4 linked regions of the Daphnia pulex genome follow. The protein of the gene in region 4 interacts with the protein of the main gene of each other region in a pairwise test. Links are inferred from orthologs where the notes say so. Each region holds a gene or a part of one and is shown on either strand. Other genes may lie near its edges.

The links.
Region 1: the proteins of disks large 1 tumor suppressor protein-like (region 4) and uncharacterized protein LOC124196913 interact in a two-hybrid assay, tested with the Drosophila melanogaster proteins (4 studies listed by BioGRID). The link is inferred for Daphnia pulex from reciprocal best matches to the Drosophila melanogaster genes dlg1 and gukh.
Region 2: the proteins of disks large 1 tumor suppressor protein-like (region 4) and vang-like protein 2 interact in a two-hybrid assay, tested with the Drosophila melanogaster proteins (3 studies listed by BioGRID). The link is inferred for Daphnia pulex from reciprocal best matches to the Drosophila melanogaster genes dlg1 and Vang.
Region 3: the proteins of disks large 1 tumor suppressor protein-like (region 4) and potassium voltage-gated channel protein Shaker-like interact in binary tests that used the Drosophila melanogaster proteins (3 or more experiments, as listed by UniProt). The link is inferred for Daphnia pulex from reciprocal best matches to the Drosophila melanogaster genes dlg1 and Sh.

What each region holds. Positions count from the first base shown.
Region 1 is NC_060023.1:632,615-637,834, forward strand, and holds the end of uncharacterized protein LOC124196913, read right to left. Parts: intron 5,159-5,220; coding exon 3,028-5,158; intron 2,756-3,027; exon of another isoform or gene 2,471-2,755; intron 2,110-2,470; exon of another isoform or gene 2,104-2,109; coding exon 992-2,103; 3' UTR 720-991; downstream 1-719.
Region 2 is NC_060018.1:12,093,904-12,099,123, reverse strand, and holds the end of vang-like protein 2, read right to left. Parts: coding exon 4,922-5,220; intron 4,642-4,921; coding exon 4,515-4,641; intron 4,195-4,514; coding exon 3,646-4,194; intron 3,342-3,645; coding exon 3,186-3,341; intron 3,114-3,185; coding exon 2,937-3,113; intron 2,795-2,936; coding exon 2,608-2,794; intron 2,481-2,607; coding exon 2,272-2,480; intron 1,950-2,271; coding exon 1,731-1,949; 3' UTR 880-1,730; downstream 1-879.
Region 3 is NC_060026.1:6,145,395-6,151,074, reverse strand, and holds the start of potassium voltage-gated channel protein Shaker-like, read right to left. Parts: upstream 4,521-5,680; 5' UTR 3,893-4,520; coding exon 3,780-3,892; intron 1-3,779.
Region 4 is NC_060025.1:304,217-309,436, reverse strand, and holds part of disks large 1 tumor suppressor protein-like, read right to left. Parts: intron 4,439-5,220; exon of another isoform or gene 3,337-4,438; coding exon of another isoform or gene 3,127-3,336; intron 2,468-3,126; coding exon 2,327-2,467; intron 1,217-2,326; exon of another isoform or gene 513-1,216; coding exon of another isoform or gene 495-512; intron 327-494; exon of another isoform or gene 1-326. UniProt on the Drosophila melanogaster protein: During embryonic development, some isoforms are essential for proper neuronal differentiation and organization. Required for cell polarity; maintenance of apicobasal polarity.

The sequences.
Region 1 (5,220 bases), on a different chromosome or scaffold from region 4:
GTTGGCGGTGTCGACCGTTCAACTTCCAAGAATGAGATAAGAGAGATGACACCTTTTTTGTGTTGTTGCTAGTAGATCCTTATATTTCACACTGATCTATATACATCATTTTGGGATTTCGATAGCTAGTTTAGGGTTGAGTAGGTTAGGGAACAATAGATTGAGTGGGAAGAGTGGGTAAAATTGGGGCCCTCTGTTGAGGTCCCTACAAATTACACATAATTAACAATAGTAAAGTGTCGATCACTGTTGGGAGTCATTATATTCCCAACACACCGACCACCATAAATAGGAAGTCAGCGTTTGGCGCCAATCGCTAGAGAGAATTGCTGCTTCTGTTTGTCACGCAAATCACAATATTCGTTCGGAAAACAAAATGTTTCATGATTAGTAGACGCTGAAAACCTCATGCAAGATGATTTGTTATAGATAAGAATTACCTGAACCCCTTTTTATAAAATTATATCAGTTGATCTTAATTTCGTTTTTCGATATAATTCAATTCAGTGAAGAAGACCTTGAGCGGTTGAGCTTGAGCCTCTAGCCCACGCTGCTGATCTCTTGGCTTAGCCACTTTAGTTTTATCAGCCATTCGAATCAGTAAATCGGTAGACTATTAGATCCCTCCCAAACTCTTGTGATGTTAATTTTAGAAAGTGTTATGCATTTATGTCTAACTTCATCGGTACTTGGCTAAAACGTCAAAGTCTTAATTTTTAAAAAATGTTTCTCACAGTTTATTATGTTGCTAAATGTATCAATAATTTCTTTTTACAGGCACTGTAGGGTTTTCGATAAATCCCAACACACAATCGACAGAAAATATAATAATAGAAGTCAAATGCAGTTCTAAAGGCACAAACAACTCGTGACAATTGAAGGTAATTATAGCTTTTTAAAGAAAAGGTGATGACTGGTATACTTGCAGGATTCGTTACAGATATAGATGTAATGCATTTTCTCAACTTTTTCTCTTCTCTCACTAAGAAAACTAGAGAGATGTTTCAATGGGTGTCGAACTGCCACTAGATGGAGTGGACGACCCACGTCGTGAACCGTTTTGAAAAGACAAATGTCTACGGACACTAGCTCCATTGCTGGACACTGAAGAAATGGTGACTGCATCGTCGTCAGCAGCTGCCAGTTCTTCCTCGCTCCTCCCCTCTGCGATGGTGGAAGACAGGACGTCCGTTCGTGGACTGTAGTGCGGATGGAATCGATTGTTGCGTTGCTGCTGCTGCTGACTGAGCCGACTGGCGATGTAACTGACTCGAGCACTGCGACGAATCAAATTCTCCAGTGCTGGATGTTTGGTCACTGGACTGACGTCTGGCGACGCGGGCCCCTTGCCGATTCCGGCCGGCGGAGGTTGAGTCGCTTTGAGCTGCTCAACGGCCGAGATCTTTTTATTGGACGCCGGATGATGGAGTTGCTGGAGCAATTTGCGTTTGAAATCGGAAATGGTCGTCCGTTTGACCAGTCCGATTGAATGGATTTTGGGCTGCTGTGGTGAAGGTGACGCCCCCGCATCACCTGGATGAAGCGGCCAAGTGCCGGGGCGAGTGTCGACGGATTCGTTCAAACTTGACGTGGAAAAGGAGCCATCCAGGGAACAGGAGGAATACGAAGGTGTTGGCGACGATTTGCCTTGTTGCTGGACACGTCCGGCGCCACTGGGAGTAGCAGAGTTGAAAGAGTTTGATCTTTTGGGTGAAAATTCCAGGAATCCACCTTCTTCCGGACTATCTCTTCCGGTTCTGGCTGCGTTGGCCGCCGCTAATTTCGACGGTAACGGAAGCGTGCTGCTGTTTCTTTTGTCATCTCCCGCACTGGGCAGCCACTGGTTGTAGTTTGGTTCTACGGAAGACGGAGAACCGCCGCCGCCGGTCATGGATGCGTAATAATCGGCCACCGTTTTGAATCGAGCCGGAAGCGAATTGTATCGGAAATCTTTGCGTTGAAATTCGGTCGATGTGGACGACAACTGGGCTAGTGGCAAGGCCGACATTCTCGGCGGAGGCGATAAAGATTGATAGCCCGGAAGTGGTGATGAGCTGCTGGATGAAACTCCGTTCAATCTCGAACTAGTAGTTCCTGTTCCATCTAGTGGTAAGTTTGGTTTAAAATCATTGAACACATTTTTCTTTCTTTTAAAAATCAAACGAAAAAAGATACGAGGAAACCAGGCCGGATATCCTGACCAATGAGAATCGATTTCTTTGTTTTAAAAATGTAAGGCCGTTTATTAGCCAATTGAAAAAATTCGATTTAAAAAAAATAATAATAAAATTTCGTTCAAAAAAAAATTAAACATGGGAAGAAGATTCCGGCCTGGTTCGAGTTGGTTTTTTCATGGACTTTTTTTGTTTTTCATCCATTAAAAAAAAATTAATTTAGAATATAATAGATCTCATCGATGAATTGATTAATCATAAAATTAATGAATTATCGATTGTTTTCATTCATTCAGAAAATTAGAAAAAGCAGACCAAAAGAATTAATCATTTTCTAATGGAATTAAAAGCCCAGAGAAATCCAACTCTAAAGAAAACAAACGAAGCACGCACACACACACACAAAACAAAATACAAAAAGTGCAAATAAAATAAAAAGGAGAAAGCCAGGCCGTGAAAAATAGTGTGAGAGAAATTTCAAGCAAATACTTAAATAATAATAGTAAAAAAAGCGACAAAAACAATTTCGTTTGTTTCATGCGACGTGAGATTTTTCCAGTCATGCGGGGGTGGTGATAAAAAAAAGGTAATTAAAAAACAAAAACATACGAGAAAAACAAATTTTTAACTTTTTCTTTTTTATGGCATTCGTAGGAAGAAGAAAATTAAAAAAACATTCACGCAATCAAAAGGGATTAAAGAAAAAGGTGAGGTAATACTGTGGGAAATTAAATCAAGCAAGCTAAAAAAAAGGTGATATTTAATTTCAAATCATTTTCTTTTTAGCGCCAAATGAGTATTTTTAAAAAAATTTCAGATCACCAAATGTCAGTGTTGTTGTTTCTGCGGTTACCTGGAGTGTTGTTGAAGAAGCTGGGCCGATCCTGGGCGTTGGTGGGTGGACGGACGACGGGACTGGGTGGAACACTTCCGAATCCGCTGGCAAATGCGGATTTCTTGTGATGAGTTGGTTGTTGGCTGGTCATGGAAATGTCCAATCCGCTTCCGCCGCTCGAGTTGAGACTGCTGACGCTTCCGCTTTTGTTGTTGTTGTTGTTTTGGTGAGTCGGAGACGTCAGGATTTTCGGATTGACCAACAGCCGAGGACCGCCGTAAATCCGCCTTCCGGCCGCATTTGGATTGTGAATTCCTCCTCCGCCGTTGTTGGGTTTCACCAGGAGCGGACTGGACGTCATCATCATCATGGCCGGACTAGAGATTTGCCGGTGGTTGAATTGCTTACTAGGACGTCCATTGGCTGCTGCTGCAGCCGGGCCGGAAGCTTGCCCAGCAGCGTTGAAACCCGGATTGGAAATTTGTTTGACCAGCATCGGACTTTTGATGGAGTAATTCATCGCTGGCTGGGAAGGTCTGGACGACCATCCGTTGCTGTTGGGTCTGTCCGTCAAGTGGCCCGAAATGAACTGGCCCGTTCCGGCGGTGGCCGTCACGGATCGGTGAGTTGTCCCTCCTCCGTTGACTGCGAATCCGCTTAACGTGTGACTAAGTGGAGCGAGTCTTCCGTTGTGACTGCCAGCCGCTTGCGGCGGCGCCACCGAGAGCGTCTGATTGGCTTTGCGGTAACTGTCGGATCGATTCCGCTGGAAGGCACCGGCCGGATCGCCTCCGCTGTCCACTTGGTCGTCGACGTTGGCCAGTCGGTAGCTGTCGGACCGGGACACTAGAATCGCCGGAATTCCCGATCCATTTCCATTGGTTGAACTTTGACCGTCCGGCTGAGTCCTGACGGCCGGAATCGTCGAAGAGGATGAAGAAGAAGAAGAAGTTCGAGGGCCGTTGAAACTTGGGGCCGGCCTGTAAGGCGGTGGACTGAGCGGTTTGTTCGCGTTGCCAGCAGCTGATCCAGTCGAGCCGATCGGATTGGGACGGAAGGCCGACGTCCCTGGATCCAATTTCCTTTCCACATTTTGCTGGCCGGTGCCCGGCTCGACGAACGTGGAAGTGTGTCCGGCTTGAGCTTTCCGTCTCTTTAGAGAATCCGAACTGTAGACAACTTTTCCGTCGGAATCCAGCGTCACTCTGGCGCCACGTTTCTTCCTTTCCAACGAGCTGGATCGTGAACTTTCACTGCTTCCGGCGGAGGAGAACGGCTGGGCGTTCAGATTGTCCGAATCGGCGGCCGGCAGTTGGTTGAGAGCCACAAGTTCCTGATCGACCGGACACTTGACGACGGACGCCTTGATAACGATGGCCGTCGACTCGGTGGATGCCGGAATGGCCGCCGGAAGATCGGCCACGTTTACTCGAGTCCGGCTCACCGGACTGGGACGAACTTCCGTTGCGGCGACTTGCTGGAGGAACGCGGATTGGATGTGCGATTCGAGACTTATTCCGGAATTCCGGCCGGAAGGATCGTTGAGCATGGCATCGTCGTCGCTTGGCAGTGGAGTGATGGAAGGAGTGATGACGCACATGGCCGGAATCCTTCCGATTTGAGTTAAATTGGCCCTCATGCATTCCGATTCCGGCGATCCAGCGGTTTCGCTTCCGGGAGATTCGTTGCTCCTCAGCTGTTTGAGAGCGTCGGCGATCTCCTTGGATTCCGTTTCCGTCACCAATTGGCTCAGCGATTTCTTCTCTTCCGGAATTTGCTTCCGCAATTTTCCGGAATCCACCGAATTCCGGTTGCTGGAGCTTCCATTTCGTGGCGGTGGCTCGGGCGGTTGGCTGTTCCTCTTCTTCCGACTCCCCACTGTGTTGTTGTTGCTGTTACCGACTCCTTCCGGCCGGAAGATGACCGTCCCTGCCGAACTGGTGGTGGCGCTGGACAAAGTGCTGCCCTTGCCGAACAATTCGTATTCATTTTCAGGTGTAGCTGCCGGGAATGGTTGGCCGGAAGCCAATCCGCCCGAAATGCTGCCGGAAGCCGAGCTCATTCCGGATGAGCGATCACTGCCGCCGCTCGCCTCCTTGGAATTGACCGACGTCCGGTTCTTGTGTAAACTTCCATCACTCTGGCCCTCCTGTTGGTTTGACCATTTTGAGATAAGTTTATTGATTTTATTTTTAAATGAAATTAAAGAAA
Region 2 (5,220 bases), on a different chromosome or scaffold from region 4:
TCATATCTCTGTGGGTCTCTCCCGACAGACATGATGAAATATGCAAACTGACGTTGAGCATTCGAGATATACACACACACATCCCATCATCATCATATATATATCCAGCAAAACATTCTTCTTTTTTGGGCTGCTGCCGAGCATCCGGAGCTTTTTAGGAAAAGAAAAAAAATTTATTTTTCTATTTCATTTGATTTTGATTTTAATTTTTTTTTTCCTCTTCAGTGGCTGTACCGACACGGCGGAGTGACTTTCCTTGTAGTGCAATAAAAAGATTCCAAACGTCAGGGTCGTCTTACAAGCTATACAATGACCACACATGGCCAAAAAAAAATCACGCGGGACGGTCGCTGGGGCAGAAAGAAGAAGACGACGACAGCCCCTGGCAGCCGGCCCTTTCACGTCTTTTTTGTTAAGTGAGTGGGTGCAGAAATGAAGGAAGTGAACGTCCTCGAACCCAAATGAAAAGAGAAGCGATGACGTAATAATTCTTTTTCAAAACTTTGTGGCGCGCTTAAATCACGGTCATTTATTTTTTTAATTCTTTTTTTTTTTAAATAAACAAAATTTTGATGGAAAACATTTTTCTCATCAAAAGGTTAAAAAAATGTTGATGATGGGCGGTGATGATTTGTTAAATGGTTTACATCATCGCCACACGGGTCCCGCAGGACATGAATGAACGAGTTTCAGCCAAAACAAATAAATAAATGTCTGCCAATTACTCAACGTGAAAAACTCCCGCGTGAAAATTATAAAAAAAGAGAAAATTTTAAATTTTTTAAAATTGTAGATTTTTTTCAAAAAATGGCAACACACCACACGAACATTTTATTAAAAGAGTTTTGTTTTGTATACACAACACAATGTACTTTTTTAATAATCATTTTTTTTTGTATTTTATTTTTCAAATGGAGGGGGATGATGACGCATGGCACCTACATTCCACCGTGTGTTGTGTGTACTTGTGTCTAATAACTTCGTTGTTGCCAACAGAAATGGGGGTGTCAATTATTACACACGTATACAACACATCGTCGAGAAAAGAATAGGCGAGAGAAATAACCAAATAACAAAGGGAGAAAGTCGACATCAGCGATTGTTATTAGACCAAAAACAAAACAAAAAAAGAATTTCTTTTTTTAAATCAAACAAAATAAATCAGAGCCCGCGTGAACAATGGCCAATTTTTGCGTGGGTGTCGGGAAATGAAATTGTTACGGGTGCGAAGAATGAGGTTCCCTTATTTTTATTATTATTATTATTATTATTATCATTATTTGCCCTCGACTATAACATGATTATGTACACACACACAGGAAAAAAAAAACCCCAAAAAACATATTGTTGAGCCAATCATATTATTAATCAGCGCGTCTATAATTATTAGCCAAAAATGGACGAAACAATTTTATTAATTATTATCGAGTCCGGAGGCCATTAATTCTTCTTATCTTTCGATATGTTTGCGAGTATTTTTTTTCTGAATATTATCAACGATCAAACCGGAAATAAAAAAATTGGGGGGGTTGCACGCAAGAAAAGGACACGAATTTTACGCAAGACGACTAGTTTCTTGTTTCAAAAATTATTATCCAGCGCGGGAAAATAAATTTTTTTGAAAAGAAAACGAAAAAAACAAAACAAATTTAATTGGTCAAATGAACTGAATTATTTTTTTACAAAAATTTATTCCGTCGAGTCCGTCCGTCCATCACTTGAATATTTCATCAGACGGAAGTTTCGGAACTGAGCCGCAGGACAAACTTGTTGGATTTGGGTTCGATGATCTCCTCGGTGATGTTGAAGTGCGGCAAGTTGGAGATGCGGCAAAGGAGCGAGACGTCGCCCTGCCTCAGCTGGAACACGGTCCCGTCCTCGATGCCACGCGACAGGAGGACGTCGCACACCAGCGACCACGTCTGAATCGGACACTTTTCCTTGTCGTTCTATTTAAACCGCCAAAAATTAAATTCAAACATTTTAAATTTTTATTTTCAGCGGGAAATTCAAAGTCGATCAAATATTTTGTGGACATTTTTCCGCGCCAAATTCGAAAAGCTATTGGCCATAAATAAATTGACTGCCAATCAAATGTTGGAATTTTGTTGGAAAATTTTTAAAGCGGGAAATTTGAAAAGAGATTGAGGGGAAATTTACGATGAACCAAAGTGGCCCTTCACGGACGTCGGGAATTCCGAATGAAAAATGGGGTCCGCTTTTTTTTTTTAAATAAAATAAAATAAAAAAAGAAATGCGGACGAGTTATACCTGCATGACGGGCGAGGCAGCCAGGAACTTTTCGACAAAGGCGCGGGCGGAGAGGTCGTGACTGAGGCAGATGGCCAGGTGCTGGAGGATGGACTCGACCGTGTGGCGCGGCTGCTGGCGCGTGATCCTCAGGTACTTTTGCAACGGGCGGGCCATCGACGGGAAAATCGCCTGGGCCGCTTCGTAAGGATCCATCGGAACGGCCGGTCCTTTTATTCCACCCCCAAAAAAACATTTTTTAAATAAAAGAATTTTAATATTTATTGGTGTTGAATATTGCCGCAAGGATAAGGAGGGAAAAAAGACATTTGGTTGTGTATAATTGTTGACATGTACCTGGTTCCGCTTGAAGTCGTCGGATGTGGGTGAAAGCCTCTTCGGCGGACGTGACCAAACGGGCGCGCCTCTTTTTCAAACGTCGTTCGTATTCGTGCTCTTCGTAAAATCTCTCGTTGTGGCTGGAATTGTTGCGACGAGCCGTCGTCGATGAGCTGGTCGTCGACAAAACGCCACGGGCATTACCCTGGAACATTTCCCGCCACCCAACAAAAAAAATTCAAATTTTAATTTTAAGTTTAATTCAATTAATTTTAAGTATAGTTTTAATTATTTTTAGTTTAAAATAAGAAAAAAAGTTGAAATGAAATTTCGTCGGGTGGACTTACCGGATTGAGGGAGCCGTGATTGTTCTGGGCGTCCAGGTCGTAGAATTTGAACGAGGACGAGTGGGCCAACTTTGAGCGGCTCCTCCTGGGCGGCAGCCGCTCCAGGAACGGGTTGTAAATCGGAAATTCCGTGTAGTACTTGTCCAGCAACCAGACGGCGGCCCGCTGGATCGATATCTGATGGCCAAGAAGAAAAAAACAAATCTAAACGATCGAAATAAAATAAGAAAAACAACAAAATTTGCTTACGGCTCCGATCGGGTAGCCCCTGGAAATGCCATCGGGACTGCGGATGACGTGTAGGTAATACCTGGGCGGCATTTGGCGGATCTCCAGGAGCAAAACGGCAGCATAGTGGACAAACAAAAGAGCGTCGACCAGCGACAAAGCGAACGTCACAATCGCCTGGATAAAACCAAAAATAAATAAAACAAAAAAACACAAAAATGTTGTAATAAATTCGTCGAGAGATGAAATAAAACGGCGGGCAGACACGGAATGCATCCGCCATATTTGTTTATTCCGTCCGAGTGAAAAAAAAAGATAAGTTCAAGCTGTGATTTGAACTCACTCACCACCCACAGAATAAACCAACCAACCAACCAAGAAAACTATTACACCGCCCGCTGTTGCACGACATGCCGGCCCTGGACCGGCCTGGAACCCAAAAATAAATAACAAATGAAATTGAAATGGATATGTAATTTACCTTGTAGTCCAGCTGATCCTGTTGCTCGACCACCCGAACACCGTAGAAAAGGCAATAGGCGAAAGTGGTGACGAAGACCAGGAGGAGGACCAGGGTCCTGAGGAAGAAGATGCGCGGCATGGTGGCCCTGGTGGGCCGCCAGAAAACGGCCCAGCTGCCCAGGACCAGCAGGACCAGCTTGACGGTCAGGGTGATGAGCAGTCCCTCGCACTCGGCCGGGCAGCGCAGCTGCTCAGAGCGGAGTGGAACGATCTGCATCCGCGGCAGGAGGACCATGGCCACGGGCGTCATGACGGCCAGGACGGCCAAGACGGCGGCCGTGATGGAGCCCAGGTAGCGCTGGCATTTAAAATTCCAGCCAAGGTGGCCGCCTTGGCTTTGAAACTGGCCCATGGCGTTGGACGACCAGGCCGGATCGTTAGGCCCTCCGTCGCCTCCGCCACCGCGTCCGCCGTCTCCGCCGCCCAGCCTCGACACGTCATCCATCGATCCGGAGGCCACGGACGTGTTGCCCGTCAGAGCCGTGGCGTTGTCGCCCCATCCGTCATCCTGTTGTGTGAATCACCAGCCCATTCAATCAATTGCGCAACATCAAATTCATTTGAATCAAAAAAATTCATTTCCATTTTTTCTTTTTCTTTTGTGTGTGCGGACGGACGCCGATTTACAAGGTCCGGCGCGGCTTTTTGGTTGGACGGATTCTATACATATCTAAATATTTCTGTTTACACGAAAGACTTTTCTATGCAGGGGGAATCGATCAACGGCGCCGTTTATATTCCACAAACAAAAATAGCGCGGGAATATTTGAATCTCATTGAAAATATTCCAAAATTTGAATAATAAAACAACAAAAAGTTTTTTTTTACCTGAGGTAGGATCTGGACTTCGATGACTTCTTGGTGCTGGTTGTTGCTGCGGTCGCCGAGGACGGCCGACGTTTGCATGGGCGACGATGAAATCGGGTGATCCCGGTGTTGTCCCGCCCTTGCGCTCCTGTCAAAGCCAAACAACAACCACAAACAAAAAACATTTTTAGATTTGAAATTATGACGCCATCGACTGCAGGACTGCAGGTTCATTTACTTTGATATCAACAGCATTAAGGATAGGATAAACGTTGCAGCTCCATGAAAGGCAAGGAACAAAACAAATTTAACAACGGCTGGTCCGTCTTTTTCGTTCAATCCTTTTAAGGCTCAAGACGGGCCACGCCAGAACACCTGGCCCGTCTTGTTTTTATTTGAGTCAGATTTTAGTTATAAAAGAAACGGACCTGTGCGATCGGTGGTGGCCGGAACTGGTGCTCTTGCCGGACTGGGTCGAGGCCAGCGGCCGGTTGCTGTGCTGGTGCTGGTGGCGTGAGGATCTGGAGTGGGCCCGATTGGAAGACGACAGGCCGCCGGCCATGGAATTGGAGTGATCGGAGCGCAGCGATTGGTTCTCCTCGCGGTCGTCCACAATGACGTTGTTGCGGTGATGGTGCGGCGGTGGCAGCGGTGGCTGGGCGACGGGCGACTGCATCTGCTGCTGCTGCGGATGGCCGACGTTATTCCACATCTGATGGCCGCCCAT
Region 3 (5,680 bases), on a different chromosome or scaffold from region 4:
AAGCTTTCCCAAAAGCGTTTTTTGGAGGATATTTGGGACGAAACTGTGGGGTAAATTGGGACTAAAAGGGAGTCTGTAATGAGCGGAGCTTAGCTCAGTGGCAACCCTGAGAAAATAATAAATTTTAAACAATTTATTTTTTAAATTTAGCAATAACCTAAAAACATAGCGAAAAACAAATACTAGGTGGCAAATATTATAATAGAATGATATTTTTAAATTAATTTATAACAATATTTTAGTGCTAAATTTAGAGTGTTTCACCCTGTTCCATAAAAACCCCGAATTTCCACGCCCACTTTTTTTTCGCAACTTTTAAAATCGGTAGCGGGTAAACTAACAACTCTAAAATAAAATAAAAAATACTGGAGATAGAAAAAAGTGAGACAAGTACAATAAAACCTGTATTTTACAAATCAGATGATTAGAAAAGGCCCTACACGAGAAAAACCAAAATTGGTCCAAATAACCCCCACCCTCCCCTACATGGCACTTTAAAAAAATACCCCGATAATTGTGTTGAACCATTCCATACCATAATCTATGTACTGTAATGCGCGTATTCGGGCTGTACTGAAACGCATGTACCAGTAGCCCTTATGTCTGCGGGAGTCCCTATCTTTCTCTCTGATAGCCATTCTCTCCGTTCCATCTTATAGCACTAGAACCCTACACTTTCCCCTTCTATAGATCAGCTCTCGTCTCCCTTATTTCCCTAAATGTAACGGGGCGCTATACAAACCGAGCTCCGTGCTACTATAGCATCTCGTCCCCATCACTAAAGTCGTCCCAATATTGCTGCCAACCTGTCGTCCCCAGCAATCCTTATATGCGGCCCGGCCTAGCTTTCGGGAATTCTTCTCGGAAGGCTAGGCCGACTTGGAATATATAAACCCGCAGTTTCCTTGTCAGACTGTGTATTTGGTGTGTACCAAAGTGACGTGTAGAACTGCTCGATCCCCCTCTTGGTAAGCGTGTACCCGTTAATAACTCTGTTATTAAATACAAACTAGTTCGGTCTAAGTGTCCTTTGTAAGTGTCCGTATGTATGAAAATAAAAATAAAAAAATAATTAAAATGTCATTTAAATACCTGATATAATTTCATTTTTTCAATCCAAATATGTAAGTTTTAAATTAATAACGTCGTCCTGTTACTTAATTATCTAGTTAACGTTTCGGCTAAAAACTTAAATTTAAAAAAAAAATGTCGTTTGGAAGTATCCAGCGTGTAGCGTGTCGCGTTTATCTAAACGTTACATTTCAGAAAAAAGCGAAAGCATTAATGGCTTTACGTGACCATCTTGTGAAGCAAACCTTTCCTCGCCAATTGACGTGGAATGGTGTGGGAATCTTGTAAGAGGGACAATATTAATCACTGAATGTGATCATTCTAAACCACTTAGCACCTTATTATCAACTACAAATATTCTGAAAATATTTGTATTATCATCTGTTAAAATTTTAATGCTTTCATTTTTCTTTAGTAGTTTCCTTTCGGTAATTCTGAATTCTTCCCTTTCTCACAAATGCGTTGCATATTAAACACCTACCAGAACAAAGAATAGCGATTTTTCTAAAAATTAATTAATCCATTTATATTTCTTCCTCTTTCTTATTTCTGTCTCATTTTTTGCTGTTTATTTCATCCGATTTGATTTTTTTTCCATTTTTCTACTTTATACTGTAATATTGAATTAAAAAACAAAAAGCCAGCACACACTATATAATTGTTCTAGCATCTTGTTTTCCGATGTCCCTTTTTTTTGTCAATATAGGTTCGATATAAAATATTTATAACGGGAAGTTGTCAACTCGAAAAATATTCGTACACCCCCCATATTTTTAGTTAAAAAAAAAAAAAAAAAATGCGGAAAATTTAAAAATAAAAATGGGAAAAATATTTAAGAAAAAACGAAAATTCAATTCAAAAATTTAGCTTTTTGGGTTTTTTCAAGATTTTCCACAAAATTTTCCAAGAATTTTTGGAATTTGTAAAAGAAAAACTAAGTGTTGTCCCAATTGATTTGTTTATTATCAATCTTGTTGGCAATCGAGTGCTGACCAGCAACATTAATGAAAAAATAAGGATTACTTCTTAAACCCTACCGCGGACAACTAAAAAACATTTTAAACCCCTATATTTTAGTCCAAAAATAAAAAATAAAAAAAATTATTTAAAATACATTTATTTTTTATTTTTTATTCGTACACCCAAATAACAAGTCGATAACCCGATTTATAATTATTTTGTTTTTCTTCCTTTTTTATTCGTTTGAATTCCATGAAGAAGCTGAAGACAGTTTTTGATCGATGTGATTCTTTAAGGGAATAACGCTACTGTAGATAAGGCTGTATATCAGAGTAGAAATAAGTTTTCAGGTAGTCAACCGTAGTCAACAGCCAAGCCTCAACAGTGGGCTAATTTTGAAGCTGAAAAAAATCTTGAATGAAAACGCAGAGTTGTATTTTTGCATAAAAATTCTTTCGCTGCACGGTTCAAGTTACAAAATTGGAAAAAGTCGGATGTATAGATTGTAGTCAGGACAACCAACATCTGACTGAACATAGACTTAAAGCTGGCAGCCTTGCAAAACATAGTAACAGAAAGAGTGCCCCATGTTAGGAATTCTAGCAAAATAATCCAGCTACGGTTGTGTTTTACATAATATTAAATGATGCGGTTGTCAGTCATATCAGATTTGTTTCGTCTATATTGCCGAAGCAAATATAAAATTCCTTCGATTTTATTTATGAGACGCATACTGCACTTGCCCGACCTTTGTTAATATGGTGATATAAATAGGCTATACAGTGTAGAGTAGAGAAACGCAATCAATGTTTCCCTTTAAGCATAGCGTCTATTAATGGAAACAACGGTATCCAAATGATGGAAAGATTTTAACTATGGTGAGGTTTATACACTGAATTCTTGGGTTCTTAATACACGAAATTCTCTCTATGCCTAGCTAATCTAACTCATTTAAAAGTGACAAGAGTAAAGGCTGTATGTACGAATAGAAAAGGAAAAATGAGCGTGATTGTTTTTCCTGTTGAAACCTTGCTATCTGGTTCTCTCTTTTTTTATTTCTTGTCTGCGTGCGTGCTCGATCTTTTTTCGGGACCTTGTAGTTTTCGTACCGTACCTCTGAATCTGTTCGCAAGCCAAAAAAAGGATACGAGTATTTCAGAGACAGTCCTAAAATTAGCAGTTGCACTGGAAGGTGGAGGCGAGAAGAACCGAGGACATAACCACGCGTTTAAACGCACACACATGGGACAGGCGGGAAGTCTACCAAAAAGTCACCCAGAAACGAATGACTGAATCTAGATATAACCTATGATTAAAGCAATACTTTTTGTCCCTGGAACAGATTAAGGAACTCAATGATTCAATAGTTTATTTGCACTCTTCAGGTCACAACTTTGTTTTGTTTTCATTAGGCATTGTTTTGCACTTTTTTCAAGAATGCAGTTGAACTGTTATCTACGGGTTACTTATTAAACCATAAGTATCATTTATGAAACACTATGGACGTTATTGATTTTTCATTTTCCTTGTGTTTGTCGTGTTGTTGTCAGAAGGAGAGGAGAAATATATGGTAAATTTCTGATTGCAGACATAATTTAATTGACTTATCACACATATCACTTTGTATTATACAGCTATAGTGTTAAAAAATTTTATAGTTTCCTAACTAAGCTATGAGTAGGTTAACATCTTCATTTGATCATTTAAACAGGAACGCAAATTTAAAATGATTAAGTGAAACCTTTTACCTTTCACTCGCCCGTCGACATATTAGGCCTGCTAACATCTTTGTTATTGGATTTTCCGACGTTGGAACTTTGGCACCTTGGGCGCTTCCGCCCATACCGCCACTTTGCCACATGATGATGAGAATGACCTGTAGATTGATCTGTTTAATATTTCAACACGTCTTTGCGCCTTTTAATAAGGCGAAAGGTTGATCGAAGTCCATAACACTCACGCCTATTCGGCATTGAAAACTAACCGCACAATGAAACACCACACCATTGTAGACCATTGAATCGAAGAAAAAGATTTAAACAAATCAATGGTGACGAAATTAAGGTAACAAATTTGATTCGTGAAAAATCGGTATGTCATGAAGCAATTTGAAAAAAAAAATCTAACAATAGAAAGTCCACAAGTCTATTGCTAACGCACCGGGTAGGAAATGAAAACACTTCTCCCGTCTACAGCTGCCAACAACCGACTAACGAAACCCTTTTCGTTTCTTCTTGTTCAACGATTTTCAAATCTCTTTAATCAGCTGCACGAGTTGGAATGGCTCTAAGGTATGGCGGAGTCTATATAGAGCTAGATACTAGATAAGAAAAAAACAAAGAAGTATGTTTTATTTCTATTTTTTTGTAAGTCATTTGGTGGTATTTTTTCGATTGGAGGAAATAAACATCGATATCGATAAATCTATATTCTATAGCAACTTTTGCAACAACGATAACGAAATTTTTTCTCCAACTTATCGAAAAAATCTGACTTTTAATAAAAATCCCGCAATTGTTTTTTTTTTCTCTGGTGGACGATCCCGACCCCACCCCGCCCCCACCCTCACCCCCTAGCGAGCTATTCATAAACGCCATCTTCATAAGAAACTGTAGCTTTTTCTCCTAGTTCTAGAGGCATCTTCTGCGCCATCCAAACAGAAATTTTCGATTGTTAGATGCGTAGGTAGGAACTGGGAAGAATCGTATTAACAAAGGAAATTATATTTCTACAAGTTATCCTTAACTGATATAAGGGCATTGCACGATGTATACTCAAAGTCTAAGGAAGTGAAAAAAATAAAACAATAAAATAACGGTACAGTGGTTCTGACAGCAGTCCCTGACTCCCTGGCTAATCATCCAGGGGTAGTGAGTAGTTCTACATAAAAACTGAGCAAATTCAAAATTGAATACAATAAATAAACTTTTTAATGAATTCTTAGTAGTAAATTAGGTAATCGAATTTGTATGAGGAAATCAGCAGACAGTTATTACAATTTAGAGTAGCCCCCGGAAGGAGAATTCCTGCAGACTACAGGGCAATGACGATGCCAATGGTGAGAATCTGTGACCTGTGCATATTTTTGGCATTCACTTCTTTTTGCTTCCTCTCTTGTATCGTATCAACTATCAAGCTGTAAAATAGAAAAAAAAAACAGTGATATGCACGACTTGGCTGCACCGAGAGTTGGATAGGTTTGTCAATGTCAAAGGACGTTTGGTTTTCGGAATATATGCAACCCATGATGCAACCTAGATAGTTGTCTGTTGCCTCCTAAGCAGACTCTGCTCCATTTATATTGTAGAAATAGAAAAAAAAATCACCGTTAGGGGGTTTAATGTGTTGAATCAGAATGCAGCTCAAATTTTTGAATATTCCCACCAAACTGCTATCAAGTTTTAGGCTACATCATAATTCTATCTATCAAATAAGGCATGCATGAACATCACAGATTCATTCTGAATTTACGATATGTCGGTTAACTAATTCCAATTATAGGTTTTACTCAATTTAATTGTGAAAATAATTTTTTTCTTAATTTGATAAAGTACAAGCAACATTTAATATTTACATATATGTGGTGGAATGCTTGAAAGACTGCATGTCATCATTTAATGCAAAGTGATTGTCTGGTGTTCTTACCATT
Region 4 (5,220 bases):
TGCCACCAACGGAAAAATTGGAAGCCGACCAGTTGAGACTAGAAACTTTTTTTGGGAGCTGCCAACACACGAAACATCCACCAAGCAAACTGTGTGTGTGTTATCTAATTGCATGGGGTGGCCCTTTTCCGGTCTGGACACCTGTACTGCCGTGTGCTGCTCTCTTATGGAAGTTTTTTTATTTTTTTTTCCTTTTTCAATAGATACCGAAAAACTACACAACAGACACACACCGTGGGCGAGTTTTTCTTTTTTTCTTTTTCTTTTTTGGCGGGGGGGAGACTAGAAAATATAAAAGAATGGGTGTGGAACATGGAACTCGTCTGCTATTGGTAGGTGACGTCAACACAGCATTGCCAAATCTATCGCTAAATTCGTCTTGATGATGCGCGCAGACACAATTAAAAACAAAATAGAAAACAGCCAAGGTTCTTAATAAAAACGCAAGACTTAATTCGGGGGGATTGATTTCGTAGATTGATTGAAGATTTTACCTTCCGTCGTGTTTTCATCCTAGATGGCTGGTAATTTATATCGAGGTGTTATATTGAATTCAAAAACCGGCGTTTGGAAGCATCAAGAGTTTCGATGGAGAAACGGGGGGAAAAAATGGCGCGAGCGTCGGCTGCGAAAACTCGCCTGCAACTGATCACTTGCACCGGTGCACAGTAAAATAAGCTCCAGACACACACAGCTCACACGCCGACCAGCAGCAGCAGTGGCAAATATAAACCATCCGGCAGGAGCACACAGTACAACAACCCAAAAAGCTCGTCACAAATAAATAAAAAAAAGATCCCAACAAATTGGGAAACAAAAAATGAAAAAAAAGAAACACACACAACGTCACTAGCCGGATCTGAAAAAGCCAAACTCGACGCGTTCGGTATACACAACTGAATTTTCTCTCTCGCTATACTACTTTGACAGCCTTCCAACTACTGCTACTGTCATTGGCACACTCGAACCATTTTCCATAGAAACCAAAATAATCAAATATTATTATTATAACAAGTTGTGAACCCCCAACAAATAAGAAAAAATGATCCAATCGCCACTGCCTTCTCACTCGGACTGATGGCCACTAACAAGAATGGGGGGAAGAAATGTCTAAAGAAAAAGCCTAAAAACTTCCAATATGCTGCGGAGGAGGAGGAGGAAAAAAATGTCCAGGTTTTCCCCCTCGGGGCATTAAGGGTCTCACATGAATAGAAAGTAACTGGAGGATCGTTGGATTTTGAAAAAGAAGAAAACAGGTTTCCCTTTTCTCTTGGCTTATTCTTCGCCTTCCAGGTACATTCCAGTAAGCTCCTGACATCTCTTGGCAAAGCCAACAACGACAGTGTGAGATTTCTAAGACCACATAAAATCCTCCACCAGAAAAATTCCGTCCAGGCTTTTTTCAAGGGGTTATATTGACTGTACGTGAATTCAACGATGCGTGGACAATGGCGGCGATGTTTCCGCTCGGTTAACCAATTCGTTCGAATAACTCCTTATTTCCTCCCGACACCCACATCTTGTGCTTTTCATCCCCCTCCATTTTGACACGTTCAGACACTCTAAACACTTGAGAAATAATTGGATTCCAGCGTCGACGGAAGGATATTCTGTCGATCGAATCCCCCCTTCCCCTTGATGACCTGTTGATATTATGCGCTTAACTGCATTCCAAGTATTATTAAACGGTCCAACGAAATATAGACTTGGCGTATATATATTCCACCGGGACAACCCCCCTAATGACTTTCTGCTGGCAATGAAAAATGAGTATCAATAAATCCGGATCTGCCGTGCGGATAAAACTGCAGAATGTGTGTCTCGCATCATTATATAAGAAGATCTTAATAAAGATGGGGGGGGGGGGGTCTTCATTTATGGATAAACAGTATACTATATACGGTGAGGGGGTGGGAGATATTATCCCGAAGAGATAAGAAGAGCCGAGGGAAATCGAAAAGTCATTTGCCTCTTATTCTTTTTGCGTGTGTGCGCTCCCGTTACACATTCCCGGAGGTGTTCAATGAGCCGAAACGACGGTGGTGGATTCAGGCGTAACGACACCCAAGACGAGATCTGGGATTCCTCAAGGATATATCCAAAGTTTCCCATCCGGGTTAGAATCTAGTCTCTACACAGCCGGCGGCCATTTTGTCTTCCTATCCTATCCGTGTGGGTGGGTGGGTTATATAAATATAGTGGGTAATAGTAGCAGAGCGGGGGAAATAGGATCGGCTGATAAAAATACACACGACGTCGTTCGTGAGAAGGAAAAGGTCAATACGAGACGCAAATTGAAAGGTGTCAGAAATGGAATAGATACTACCTTGAGGTTATTGGACTGTTGCTGGATCACGATCCTCTCTGTCGCCGAAATGACCGACTCGTTGACGTGACCGTCCACCATGTCAACCGACACCATAGGATCGTTGTCCTGTCGTCCCCTAGTCCCGTGATGTCGTGGGCTCTGTCGTGAAAAATAAAAACATAAAATTTGATTAGTTTCCAATCGATACGTCAGAAAAGGTAAGTTACCAAACCCAAAGTTGCTCAAAACGATCCATCAATTTGTGTTTGTATCTTTCCCGCCCAAAAATAATCAAAATAGATCGTTTACCAAAAAAGCTTATAGTTTTGACACTCGAGTACGCACACACACTATTAAAAGATATGCGATCACACACAATCCTAAACGACCGTATTATAAGAAATGGCGTCATTTCCCCGCCCTCCCCCCCAATGTGATGTATGGAGAGTCAAAACACACACACACATACAATAAACACGATTCGGGCCGGCGGGCCGTCACATCGATCACTCTCACAGAGAGAGACATGCACACACAGTACAGTCAACACACTGGCAGTCTGAGCAGTCTAGAAGAGTCTGCTCTCGACTATAAATATATTGGCAGTGTGATCTTTTGTGTTTGAGAAAAAATTCTCAAAAGAAATTGTGAAATAGACCTGCTCACGCTGGTACCTCACCATGTTCTTTATCTATGCAATCTTAAGTAGATTTCTCTCTCTCGGAAATCGGTCAATAAATCGTTTTCTCTATACACACATATAGAATCAATCGCCCATCTTCTTTCTGCCAAAAGAAGAGAGAACGTCTTCTTCTTACTTTGAAACAGCTGGTGCTGCATTTGTGCTCGCATCGATCGGCCGGGTCTTCTGCCTCCAACGAGACAGGAGCTGCTGCTGCTGCTGCTGCTGCCGGATGTGCTAGGACTCGTTCGCGCTTTTGTCGATGGCGTCGTGATCGCGGCACGAAATACATGCAGTTGGAAAAGCGTCGATTCGATTGTCGGACGATGGAAACCCAATCGATCATCTTGCGTGTTGGATGGGTGGGTATGTCTTTCGAATTTCCTTTTTTTAATCAACGCACCGAGTCAACAACAACATCACGACAGCAGCCACGACGATGATAACGACTTGTGTCCGTCTACACGTAGACCAGGGGCCGACTGTTTGCTGGGCAACACACACACAAGACTGTCGGGGCGGGCGAAAAATATTTTATTTTTAAACGTCGCTTGACAGAAAGAAGAAAACAAAAAAAATCCCGCACGACTTTTTTTTTTGCGCCCGGTACGTGTGTCCGTTGGCCGGAGCTGGCCGCCAGCGTGACCGTGATTGTTTGCGACTGAAGCGAGACTAATTTTACTCAGGCGAGTCTCTCTCGCGGGTTTCTCTCTCTACTCACTCGCACACAGGGGTCGGCGGCTGATTGTCAAGTTTCCCGCGGCCGTCGTCATGGCGGCCAGCTCACAGCTCTCCGTGAGCGACTTTTTTTCTTCTTCTTTTTCCGCCCACTAGAACGGCCAAGAAAAATAAGAAGAAATAAAAAAAAAGGGGAAAAAAAAAAGTTCACGGAGGATCGTGACACGACACGCTCGACCGTATACACATCCCATTCCACAATGTATTTATATTTTCGGGGTTTTTTTTTGGCTTGCGTGTTGTGGGTAGAGACTTTTCTCCCAGTTCTCTCGGCGTCTGCTTACGTAAATGTGGATGTATATACACATTGGGAAACGCAAAAGGCATCAGATGGCGTCGCATCAAACATTTTGGCTCCGGTTTTTTTCTATTTTTCAAATACACAAGTGACTCATTTCCGTCCAATCTAACCAACACAACCGTAGGTAAAAGTGTGTGTGTTCAAAGATCGATCGGATACAGACTCACAAATCCTTTCTTGGGCAATCCAGGTGGGGCCAATTAGCCTATCCAGCACGAACTCTACAGCTAATCCCAATCGCCCAGCTTTTTGTAAATAAATCAAACGGTACGAACCATCTTCTTCGGGTCCATCTTTTATTCATCGGCCCGCCCACCCCAACGTCGGACTTGTCGAATATTTGATCAATGCGTCTAAAAAGTCGAAGAAATAGGAAAAAAGTCACTACTAGCGTGTACACTAGCAGCTACGTACGTATTTATAGTACTCGGTGCTCTATTGATTTTTTTTTTCTCAATGCCATCAAGTTAAATCGCGCAACGTTGCCTTTAGAAAAGAAGAACATCTTCTAGACTTTTGGGCGACTGTTGTTGCAACAACAACAACAACAAAAGAAAAAAAAGTTTGCCTACTTTTTTCTTCTTCTTCTTCTTTCCCTGTGGTAAAAACGTACAACTCGGGCGGAGCAGCAGCCCCCATCGGGAGTGACAGCTTCTCTCCGTGAAACATAGTCACTGTATATATATCTGGTACAAAAGAAGCGCGCGCCAGGGAACAGCCAACTGTTTCCGGGACCGCCCAGTTCCTCGGCGGATGCGAAAAAAAAATAGAAATCCGCATTTCTAAAAAAAAAAAAGGGTGGAGAAAGAATAGTAAAAAAAGAAGAGATAAGATGGTCTAAGAGATGCCATTTGGAGATGTAAGTAAGTAGCCGCTCGCCCCGGCGCTCGATCGATGGCCTCCTCCTCCGCCACGCAGCTCAAACACAAGAGCCGCGTGATTGTCACAAATGAGTGTATTATCACGCTGTTTGTTGAACCATTAAACCCAGAAGCTTGTTTGCCAGGGGTTTTTTTTTTATTTACTTGGCATGGCAACAACCTCACGGTTTGGGGGGGTAAAACCACAACAACAACAACAATACACTCTCGTCCGCCCATCCGCCCAACGGTATCCAGTGTACAGAGAGTTGGCGCCCTTGGGCTACGCACTAACGAAACGTAGAGTATATAGTGATGGTGGCCAACCCAA